Linked DNA regions of Xenopus tropicalis. The protein of the gene in region 2 purifies or fractionates together with the protein of the main gene of each other region. This does not show direct contact. Links are inferred from orthologs where the notes say so. Each region holds a gene or a part of one and is shown on either strand. Other genes may lie near its edges.

Region 1 (6,367 bases), on a different chromosome or scaffold from region 2:
ATATATTCTTAAAGGTGAACACAAATTGGGATACTAATAAAAAGCGTACCAAATATGAAAAGAGACCCGGGTGTAAATATCCCGAGCCAATCTCCAGTGCATTAGATCCCAATTGATCATAAACGATTTAACCAGTCAAACAGTATCCATCTGAAAACAAAAGAAGCTCACCCGAGTCCAAAAGTGGTCTGGGTGCTCAAGGCCCCGAACCCGTAGTCGAAGGGGAGAAAATCACAGTACTGTAGAAGGAACTTCAAGCACAACCGGACACAGGAGTCTGCTAAAAGGCGATTTTTATTCTTCCATTTAAAATCAGAGTGCCTGACGCGTTTCGTGCGCGTGCGCACTTAATCATAGGCCAATCATAGCAGACTCCTGTGTCTGGTTGTGCTTGAAGTTCCTTCTACAGTAACCAGTAGATATAGATTCCTATAATATTCATATGAATGGTCAGTAGTGTAAATTATTACACCAAGCAGTTAGTATATATATGATTGCTGAAATGATCCACTTGCTCCTAAGCGTTAGGAATTTGTATGTGTATGGTGCAGGACTCAAATGTGGAATATTTTGAAGGGCAAAAACAGACATAATTTTAGTGAGCAGGTCTGGACCCAGCAAATGCATTAGTACTTACAAGCAAAGCACGAAAAATTGCAAAAAACATGTTCTTATACGTTCCTGCTTAACATTCATCATGGTAAATTGACTCTATTGCAAGAAATAGCATTTAAAAAGGATGTCTGCTTTTTGCTTGCAATTACTGCATCTGTGGGGGTGAAAGGAGCAAAACATTTCCTACAATGGAAAGTGTAAAAAGAAAGCTTTATTTATAACATTGTACACATCAATTTGATCAAATGTGCTTATCTTAGATAAGCAAATGGTGGGTGGAATGTAAAACCACACTCATAAAGAGGTGCCATATGACTCTTGTGCATTTCTTCTAGTGTTGGTTTACTAAAGCACAGAGCATGAGGTCTGTTTACTTGCTATACCTATCATGAGATTACAATTCAATCACTCAGAATCCTTTTCACATTTTAAAACCAGAAAATATATACTTACACACAATATATTTTATATCATGCACATTGTGCATCCACAGGTGGTATAGATTAGCTGAATGTTCACATTGTAAAGTAACTGACATAAATACTGTAGTTCTATCAAATTGTTCAAATCATACAAGAGATTTACATATGCCACACAAAGCTTGCACGAGCCACATGGCTGTAAATCACGGAATGTACATACACACAGTACTACACATTTTGTATTTTAATACATGTAGTCTGGTATGTCTGAAATCAAATTTGTATGTGTTTTAGATGCTGGGCAATAAGAAACCATGATTATGGCACAGAGTATTTTTGGTGCTTCAGCCACTAAGCCACTTTAACTGCAATCATGTCTCTACATGCACGAGGGAGATGCAGTTCACTGACTGCGGACAATTGGCTATCCCCGGCCTATTGCTAAGAACAGTGCTATCCCACTCATGGTTTAGCTGCATCTCTCCATCAGACTCACATAGCGATTTATACATGACATTGCAGCTTTCGGTCTGTGTAGCATTCTGCACAACACTGGATGTTTTTAAATTGCTACATGCCAATCATATTTTCCTTTATTTATGTGACTTATTCAGTTCATTTTCTCTCTGTAGGGCTTGAGTTATCAAGTTAGGAAGTTCTTAAAATGGGTCACTATGATCCCCTTTAGGGTGAAGACACCTGGAGCTACTAGTAGCAGCTACAAAAACAGACAATGCTGATAATTTACTGATAATTGTCTCTACGTGTATTTTAGCAGAGGCAATTCTCAGTCTTGTATATGGCAGGGTATTTTCTGGCATTCTGTAGCCATGACAAGTAGCTGCTACTAAGTAGCTAAATGTGTCTTTGCTCTTGATGCTATGAAAATGCAAGTAACAGACACTAAGTGGCTGATTATATGATCATTTAATCCAGGGTTTCAGCTAAAACAAAGTCAGAAAATACTAGTAAGTTGTTTTATTATCTGGTATCTACTGTTTTTTTCCCATTGTGCAGGGTTTTTCTTTGCACAATCAATTGTTTTTAAAAAAAACTTGCTTATTCATAAAATGATTACATTTATAATTATATATATAGATATAGATATATAGATTATATCTATAAAGAGTGTAGTCGCACAGCTGACTCTGAAATTCACCCACTTTCTATTTATTACTAAGGGATTTTTAGAAATGTATTTATCAAATAATTATTCCTATGGGATTTTTAGAAGCATGTTTATCAGAGGGTGAAAGTTAGAGTCCATCATTTGATAAATATGTTTCTAAAAATCCCTCAGGAATAAATAGAAAGTGGGTGAATTTTTCTGTGGTTAGCTCTAATCTCACATTTTGATAAATCTCCCTCTAAGTCTTAGGATGATAAATCATGGGTGCTCAGCAGCTGGCTAAAAGCACCAACTGGAAAAAAATACCAGCCTTCCTATATTTTTTTTATCTATTGTCCCTATTAATATTACAATCATAAAGGATCAATTTTACCCGCAAGGTGGCAACCCTACATGTAAACCAGCTGAAAAGCATGTATCATTAGCTTTAAGATGACTACAAAAAATCCAACACTGTCTTTGATTAAGCCACTCCAAGCCAAGCCCTCCAATACTGGGTTGGAGATCAGTCATTTATCTATTGCCCTGGTTTGAAAATTATACCATCTAAGAAGTCTTTATTGGGTTGAAGTGTCTGCATAGGCCCCTAGGGTGATTCTTCTGTTAGCCAGGAAGAAAAAATAAAATCAGAACAAATATGGGTCACTCAATATTCCCAAAATCAGGCAAAAGTCAACTCATTTAGTAACCTTGTTAAACAAGTGGATCTTTGTGCACATGGCTATCTTAGGCCATTTAATACTAAGAGAACTAACATTACAGGAAATGATATAATGATATATGCACTTTTTTCACCTGCACGTTGAACAAGTAAAGCAAGTCAACATACTGTACAACAGAATTCCCATTTAAGAGTCAGGCAAAACATGTTTTAATCAATCCAACACTGGTTACACTGTCAGTATTGCACACATATCTATTAGTTGAGTGCACAATGAAAACAAAATCAAGATGTATATGCTACACCTCCGCTGTCCAACTGGAAGCCCACAAGCCAGATGTAGATCTCCAAGTCTTTTTCATGGCCCCCAGCAGGCTCATGGACTCCAAAGACTTTATATGACATCATCATTTCAGCAAAGTCCAGCCCCTGTACATGTGGTTTACTGGATAATTAGCCAACTACATGCAATAGGTTGAGCAAGCATTGAGCTACACTATCCACAAATTACAGATTTGCTAATAAACTGGATCAAATAATGTACAAACTGTACACTACCAACACACTAAAATGATAATAAGAATGAGTGCAAGCTCCTTGGAACACAGAATCTAATATTGAACTTGAATTGTTTACATATGTCCTTGTCTGGGGCTACATCCTCTGCTTATAAATGGTCGGCCCTCAACCTTTTGTTTAGCCATAGTTCCAAGAAACCCCACCAGCCAAAGCATACTGGGGGATGCTGGGAGTTGTAGTGAAACCCCAGCATGAGGGCAGCAGGCTGGACAACCATGACTGACTGAATGCAGAAAAGATTCCATTATCTACACTGAGTGAAGCTTGGTGTGTGTAACATGGTTCCCTCCCTAATGTACAGCACATCTGTATATGAAAGTCCTAGCCTGGCTAGTAGGATGGTAGCCCATCTGGCCAGCTGTAGGCTGCACAACACGATGTAGTGGGAGCTGATGTACCCTTACATTTGTATATAGGTTATGGGTCACATAGACACATCTATACACTGCATTCCCAATCTTTGGCACATGTAACACCTATACATCCTGTTGTGCCCTTTGTACAGCCAGTTTTATATGGGAGACCAATCATTTGTATGAAAGCACAGACAAATCATTACCTGCCCCCAATCCCGGTGCCGAACAAAGTGTGGGTGCAACACACGAACCCAGCTCTTCCTGACCTCCTCCTCCTCCTCTTCTTCCTCCTTCAACTGTCTCCCTGGGGCGGGGGGTCCTCTTTTCACACCTCTTCGGGGTCCGGACACACATCCACAGTCACCCCGGACCCCAAGGCACCTGTGTAGGTAAGTGCGTAGGGCTAGTCGTCAAGAAATATTAAGCCAAACGCCCCGCTTACATATGGTAAATCCCCTATTTCTCAGCAGCTCTCCCCCTACATCCAGAGCACAGGCTCCTATTTTAGCACGGACACGCGCAAAAGGGGCGGGTATTAGTACGGTATGTATGTCGCCGCCCTCTCTGGCTGCCTCTTCAGAACAACTCCTAGCGGCTCCGCCCACCGCCGTCGATGGACCCGCCCCAAGGAGTGCAGGAGCGCGCAAATAGAGTGTGATGTAAAGAGGGAGAAAAGAGGCCGTGAGGGAGGGGGCGAGCACATGGAGTCAGTGTTTCAGTGCGCGCTCCCGACACCGCTTGGCAGAAAATAGAAAACGTAGGGCTGCAATAACTTCAAGGGGTATATAAAGCTGAGCTGTGTGTTACTCAGCAATGATGTAGAAGTTACAGGGTTCCTCTGCTGTGTCAGCAGGTCCTTCATATTCTATGTGGCTGCGGCTATGGAGTGCTGAGCAGTATGCGCCGTGCCAAGGCATACACAGTGCTGGTTGCCCAGACGAGTGCAAATGTGGCCCTGAATAACTCTCTCTTGCTTTTCCTATCATGGACATGGGGCCACTGGCTCACATATTGTTTGGCAAGGCATTAGTGCTGTGGGATTTCCATGTATATGAGAAGTTTTCCCAGGGCACTGTCCCAGCGAGTAATTGCTCTTTACAGGGTATTGGTGGTTAGGAGCATGAGTGAATTGTTTCCATATCAATTTTAAATCTTTATTAGTATCTGCGATGTCATTTTTTTGTGGCAAAGGCCACAGGTGTTACAGCACAGGGCCACGAATGATATTTCATTTATTTGCCTATTACAGCCAGTGGTTTAAGTTTGGGGGGTTACTTTGCATACTATTCACCAAAACTATTTATTACAGGAAGTAATGAAAGAGGGGAGAGGGTATTTAGTTGAATATTTGCCTCAATTTATATTACTCCACAAGGAAAAACACATCTTGAAAAGTTAGACAGGAAGTGGCTTAGGGATATGGCTATCTGTGTTCTTAACCTACATAAATATGTGCCAGAACAACACAGATATATGCACAGCAGCATTCATGTGCATCAGGGCTGGCCAGCTCATAATCCTCCAGGTGCAGCTGAACATTGAAAATAGCCTGCGAAGAAATTCTGTTTATTACTAATCCTGTCAATTCCTGTCATTTCCAGAGTGATTATTGATTTTTCCTTGTATAAACAGAACTTTCCTGGCACTTCTGCGGCTCTTTATCTGTGCTAAACCAGTTTCACCATCAGGTCTCGATTTCTCAGTGAGAGACGCAGAGGAAGCTATTCACCTTCTGACAGACCAAGGTAATCAACAACCTTTGCCCCTTAGGCCCCATGGTTTTTATTTTTAAAAAAATCGGTAAAGCAGGTTACCCACTGGAAATTGCACCCCCAGACATTCATAATAAAAAGGAAAGCAAAACTATTGTGTAGGTTCAAAAGGTATTTCTTAGCAATGATTTAAATTAGTATAGAACTGTGTAGCTATTATTATGAGTATATTACAATCCATTCAATTTTAACATTATCCAATATTAAAAGAAAACTACCACACAGAATCATGTATATTGTGGAAAGTCAGATACATTAAATAAGCTGTGAATACCATATTGAAGAGCTAAAGATCACTGGCCCAGACAGAACAATCAGTCAATCTCCAACATAGATGGAGATAATAAATAATGGCTTAGGCCAATGGCACACAGAATTTTCTTCACTGGCATAGATGCCCCGGCATGGAAAAGGCCGATCTGCTTTCATCTGCCCCACCCTGTGTGAGAACTGGCAGGCATGGTATTGGCCCATTAGTGTGCACATGGTGCAAATTATGTGTGCAGAAAAACTAAACTGTGCATGGTTGCACCAATATCCACACTGTTTGCATGCTGGTGGGTCAATACTGTGCCTACCACTGCACACACAAGACAGGGCCTTTTCTCTGCAGATGTATCTGTGACAAAGGTGACCGCTTTGAGTGCTGTTTGGTCAAGTAGCCACTTTAAAGGCCTCTGCAAAGTGCATTTTGGAATTAAAACTGTACTTTCCTGCTACTGTTTGTTCTTTAGTATGTGTCTGAGACTATTACACTGTAGACACCTGGTATATGCAAGTCTTAGCAGTAACCTCTTTTAGATAGCTTACATTGCAAGAATTTGCCAATACCT
Region 2 (5,836 bases):
GGACCAGACAAGAGCAGTGAAAGGCGGCTATACAAACAAAACATGACTTGCAGGGCTGTAATACAAGAGCACAAAAGGGACTGGGGACTGTCATTGACTAAAGCAAACACAGGAATTTCAGGCAATAACATCCTTTATTTTGATAAATAGAATCCCCTTATCCACTGCACTCGGCGGAGCACAATGGGCCCTCATGTCGTTTTGCACTATTTCTTTAAGCACATCACACGGTTGCTTTTATTAGCGCACACACACACAAAGCACTGCTTGGCTTCTCACAATGTAAAGCCTTCTGCACTGGGGGGAACTTACTACCATGTGGGTCCCGATTCAGTCTGTGCCTTTAAGACGGCTGCTGAGAGGATAGAGAACCACATGATAAAGTTCAGCCTCGCATTTTGGAGTAGTGCATACATGCCCTGGCCTCTAGACTCCCTCCTTATTGCACGCAGCCTTGGCCCAGATCAGCCAATAATTTACACAGCCATCTGGCAATTCAAACCGAACCTGCAACATTGCTCCCCCGTAATCTTTATTTCTGCCCTTCGTTCACGCAGCACCAAGTGTCTGATTATTGCACCTCGGCCTGGAATGGTGCTGCCTCAGTTTATTAATCATATAATCTCTTTTTTTGAATACATTTTCTGGCAGTTAAATAATGTGCTATAGGGGATTGTGTTTCATATAGTGTTCCCCTCTGCCTCTGGGAGGAGGCTGGACTATTGCACCAGTCCTAAAATTGCGGCCCCTGTAGTTCCCCCGTCCCGGCACATCGTGGTCTCTACTTATGGCTGGTTTACCGTCCCCGCTCAAGTCGTATCTTTCAGGTCTCCCTCTGCCGTGGAACTTTCTCCCTCTGCCGTGGTGCAGATGGCTGTTGGCATTGTGATCAGTATGTACAGGCCGGTAGTGCTGACTCCTGTACCCTGGTCTTTGCCTGCCTGGGTGGCCCCTGGAGCAGGGAAGTTTGGACTCCACTGGTGGTGGTGGTGGTGGCTCTAACTCTGGCTGAGGTGACTGCACTTCATCTGGCTGGGGTTCAAGGACAGCATCGAATTGTGGTGGTGGCTGGAAAACAAAGAAAATAAAGCAGATTATAGGCATTCTACAGGTACTATTTATCAAACATCCTCCCCATTTCCCTTTCAGTACCTCTTGGATGCTGATGAAAAAACGGTTCCTTTCTGCCTCAATGTCAATTATCCCTCCTTTAGCGAGTTGAGCCTGGTAAATCTGATGCAGCTCCTTCTGTTTCTCCAGGGTGATACAATCCGGGGTATATATCTCCTATGCAGACAAAACACAGCAGATCAGTTGACGCCAGACCTGACAGGGGACTGCACCTTATATTTCCCTACGTCACTGATCCCCAACCAGGGGCTCGTGAGCAACATGTTGCTCACCACCCCCTTTGATGTTGCTCCCAGTGGCTTCAGAGTAATTGCCCATTTTTACATTTCTGGTTTGGAGTCAAGTTTTGGAAGCCCAGAGAGTTTTACTCCTGCAGGCCAGCAGTCCATATGGGGCTACCAAATAGCCAATCACGGCCCTTATTTGGCATACCCTAAGAACTTTTTTTATGCTTGTGTGGCTCCCCAACACTTTTACATCTGTAAAAAAAGGTTGGGGATCCCTGCCCTAGGTGAAGATAGGACTGAGATTGGCTACCTACATCCTACTGTGCTTTTGGGGAAGGATAGTTAATAAGTTAATAAGCAATGGGCAGGTTGGACTGGGCCGGTGGGACACTTGGAAAAAAAACCTGGTGAGCCCTGGCTCTCGGGGGCCCAGACCTGATTCCTGCCTGCCTGCCCTCCCCGGTCATTTCCCCAGTTGCAGCAAAATTAAGTATAAGGTGCTCATGGGGTGGAGGAGGTGGAGGAGCTGGAGGGCAGCAGGAGTCAGTCTGAACACCCCAGTCTGACCCTGACAACAGGGACCAAAGAGGACTCCTTCTACCATCTACCTTCAAGTACCATCTTGGAGGCATAGGCTATTTTACATTATATTTTAGGTTTTTGTTGCACATAATTACAACGTTGAGATACTCAGGACCTACCGGAATATAGTCTTTAGTTGCTGGGGTTGGTATATTTTACTGGAGCATAATATGACACAGAGCTGGGAATCAGACACCACCCACAATAACAACAATTATGACCATTTATACTCCCGGCCTCCTACTGAAGCCTGACCAATGACTCGCTATTAACCGTGTCGACGGGTGAACTTACCTCTGGGTGCAAGGGGGGCGGAGCTGCTTGTAGTTTGATGATGTCACAGGTCACATCCTCGCGGCAAACGGGGCACAAAACTGAAAGCTCCTGAAAAGACAATCTGCGTTATAGACACTAGATATAGGAACAAATAGGAAAGGGAATACAAATATGTTTTTTTGAAGATAAAGATGTTATTACTATAGACCAGGGATCCCCAACCTCTTATACCTGTGAGCCACATTCAAATGGAAAAAGTGTTGGGGAGCAACTTCCTGGGGGTGCAAATAAGAGCTATAATTGGATATTTGGCAGCCTATAGGTGGCTCTGTTTGCATTCAACACTTGCCTTCAAGCCAGAAATTCAAAAATGAGCAACTACTTTGAGGCCACTGGGAGCAACATCCAAGGGGTTGGTGAGCACCATGTTGCTCCTGAGCCACTGGTTGGGGATCACTGCTATAGACTCGGAAAGGGAACGGTTTCCTTGCAGTTGCAGGCATCAGGCTCAGGATGATATGGGACTGTTTGTAACTTACCTCCATCTGCTTCTGTTCTGTACTGTGCTGCGCATAGCGACCCAGGCAGTATGAATGGAAATGGTGGAAACATGGGGTCTTGGTCAGTGAATCCCCCTCCTGTGGATGAAATAGACGGATTTGCATTGTGCAGCTTACGGATACATAGAGCTGAAGAGAAGCCCCTCTTCACCCTGACTCAAGAAGACAGCCCTGCACCCCCATTCTACATGTCACATTGTATCTTTTCTGGCATTTCTCAACCAGTCAAACAGGATCCCTTTTGTACATGTGTTTCTATGCCGCTGCCAAACACAAACATACAAGTAAAAACAATCACAGCCCATTATTGTGCATAAAAAGAAGGATTTGTATCTTACCCGCACATTTGCTCACCTGGAAGTTATATAAGCAGATGACACAATGGCCACGGGGGATATTACTGTCAGTCAGCATCTCCTTTCCTTTCTGCGGAGCAAGAGATATGGTCAGACAAAGAAAAAGTCAAGCATGTTATTTGTCTTGTCTGCCATCAACTTGTCTATTGGGGGAGAAGCAGCATCATATCAGCTAGAAGAGTATTACTGGTGTCTACCCTGTCACTGAGGGGTTCTGCGACCATATAAAGGCACAAGGCTGCAGGCTGAGTTATACAGGGAACTCTTGAGTATCACTCATGTATTATAAGGGATAATGTACCCCCTACTGTAAATGATAAGGATATTAGCAGTCACTGAGGGGTTCTGTGCCCATATAAAGGCACAAGGCTGCAGGCTGAGTTATACAGGGAACTCTGAGTATTACTCATGTATTATAAGGGATAATGTACCCCCTACTGTAAATGATAAGGATATTAGAAGTCACTGAGGGGTTCTGTGCCCATATAAAGGCACAAGGCTGCAGGCTGAGTTATACAGGGAACTCTGAGTATCACTCATGTATTATAAGGGATAATGTACCCCCTACTGTAAATGATAAGGATATTAGCAGTCACTGAGGGGTTCTGTGCCCATATAAAGGCACAAGGCTGCAGGCTGAGTTATACAAGTAACTCTGAGTATCACTCATGTATTATAGGGGATAATGTACCCCCCTACTGTAAATGATAAGGATATTAGCAGTCACTGAGGGGTTCTGTGCCCATATAAAGGCACAAGGCTGCAGGCTGAGTTATACAGGGAACTCTGAGTATCACTCATGTATTATAAGGGATAATGTACCCCCTACTGTAAATGATAAGGATATTAGCAGTCACTGAGGGGTTCTGTGCCCATATAAAGGCACAAGGCTGCAGGTCATGGAATGCTAAGGTGACCTCAAATATCATCATATCTTACAACAGTGTATTTTTTTTTTTATTTATAAAATACACATCAGTATCAGCGAGTCATGTGACACAAATGACACCACTCAGCACTAATTATAACTGACGATATTGCTGAGCACATTTAACAAGGATTGTTGTGTATCACATACATGTATTATGTATCGCGGTTACCTAATTGTACCAACCACACCCGACTGCACCTTCTACAGGAGAAACTGGTTATTAGCAAATTCAGTTCATTAAGTGAAGCATATCTACGCTTTCCAGGAAACAAATCCTATTTTGAAAGAGGGACCGTCATCTATTTCTGTCAATTAAAGAGACTAAGGAAGTATGAGAGCCTATTATATACGGACGGCACAATCACTGCGTGTATAGCTTTCTATAATTATAGACAGGTTCAAGGAAACATTGTTTGAAAATCAAGAATGTGTCAATACATTACATTTCTCTAAATATAGAAGGAATGTGCTGAGAAAAGTTGTTTCAGGCTGATTAATTGAAAATATCTGCAGATTTCTGGTCCCACCCATCTGTCCCCACTTCCTGCTTCCTCCTTTCCCAGGCTGGGGGGGGGGGGGCGACGGTATTCAGCACCCTGCGCTGTAGGCAGTGGTTTAACTAGAGGTTACTGGGCCCCCAAAACATTACCAAACATTCTTGTTCTACCAAGATATATTGAAATTGCTCATTTATTTGGGGCCCCTACACTCCAGAGCCCCCCTGCTGCTTCCTCTATAGTTATGCCCCTAGCTGTAGGATAGGAACCAATCAGCAGCTAGGCTGACCTGATAGAGAACTGAAGCCTGTCTGTGCTTGTGTGACTGCAGGGCTGTGATTGGCTCCTATTGTGCTTCTGGCAGGGACATTTAAAATCTTTTTTTAAAGATAATAATTTTCATTATTGCCTACAAGACTGAAGGGGTTTGTAGTTATTCTATATGTCTGTAGCTCACCTCAATCAGCTCATAGAGAATTGGGCAGCCGACCCCCTGCTCAGCCACGGAGCGCAGAGAGCTGACAATGCTGCAAAGGAAGAGGGAGAGTTCTTTGTTATCTCCAAATCATGAAACATTGGGGAAAATCTAAATTATGGGTATAATGGTTAAAGGTTTTGTTCATCTTTAGATTAATGGTATGGTGAAGAGAGGGATAATCTGAGACAATTTGAAACTGATTTTCATTTTTTATTATTGAATTAGTTTTTTGTTTAGCTGCTCTCCAGTTTGGAATTTCACAGCTATCTGGTTGCTGGGGTCCTAATTACCCTAGCAACCAAGCACTGCTATGAGTAAGAACAGCAGCGCAACCTGGTCACGCTGAGCCCCCCTGCAGGAAAATATTTTGAAAAGGCCCAGCGTAACCGGTTCCTCCTCCCCAACCGCGCTGCACCTCCTGCCCCACTATATTTAAGGTAGGAGTGGGGCGAGGGAGGAGGGACTAAGGTACAGCAGACCACGCGATTATATATATATATATATATATATATATATATAGTTGAGCCACTGAGTGAGAATATGAATAGGAGAGGTCTGAACAAAATGCTAAGTAATCAAGGTTTTCTGGCTTCTGGGTGAGTGACCCACATTTAAAAGTTGGAAACAGTTGGAAGAAGGCGGCAAATAATTCAAAAACTAATAAAAAAACAAGAAATGAAGACCAACTGAAAAGCTGCTAAGAATTGCTAATACTAGAACATAATAAAAGATAATTTGAAGGTGAATTAATCCTATTACTGTCTTTTAAAGTAATGGGGTTGCAGTTATAATCAGGTC

The links. The genes of interacting proteins can lie anywhere in the genome.
Region 1: the proteins of rnf25 (region 2) and ube2e2 purify together in Homo sapiens (affinity purification with mass spectrometry; 3 studies listed by BioGRID and IntAct, counting the BioPlex papers as one, with this or other methods). This does not show direct contact. The link is inferred for Xenopus tropicalis from reciprocal best matches to the Homo sapiens genes RNF25 and UBE2E2.

What each region holds. Positions count from the first base shown.
Region 1 is NC_030682.2:46,325,909-46,332,275, reverse strand, and holds the start of ube2e2 (ubiquitin-conjugating enzyme E2 E2), read right to left. Parts: upstream 4,281-6,367; 5' UTR 3,966-4,280; intron 1-3,965.
Region 2 is NC_030685.2:13,921,235-13,927,070, reverse strand, and holds the end of rnf25 (E3 ubiquitin-protein ligase RNF25), read right to left. Parts: intron 5,088-5,836; coding exon 5,018-5,087; intron 3,203-5,017; coding exon 3,131-3,202; intron 2,855-3,130; coding exon 2,756-2,854; intron 2,325-2,755; coding exon 2,235-2,324; intron 1,288-2,234; coding exon 1,153-1,287; intron 1,069-1,152; coding exon 664-1,068; 3' UTR 116-663; downstream 1-115. UniProt on the Homo sapiens protein: E3 ubiquitin-protein ligase that plays a key role in the RNF14-RNF25 translation quality control pathway, a pathway that takes place when a ribosome has stalled during translation, and which promotes ubiquitination and degradation of translation factors on stalled ribosomes.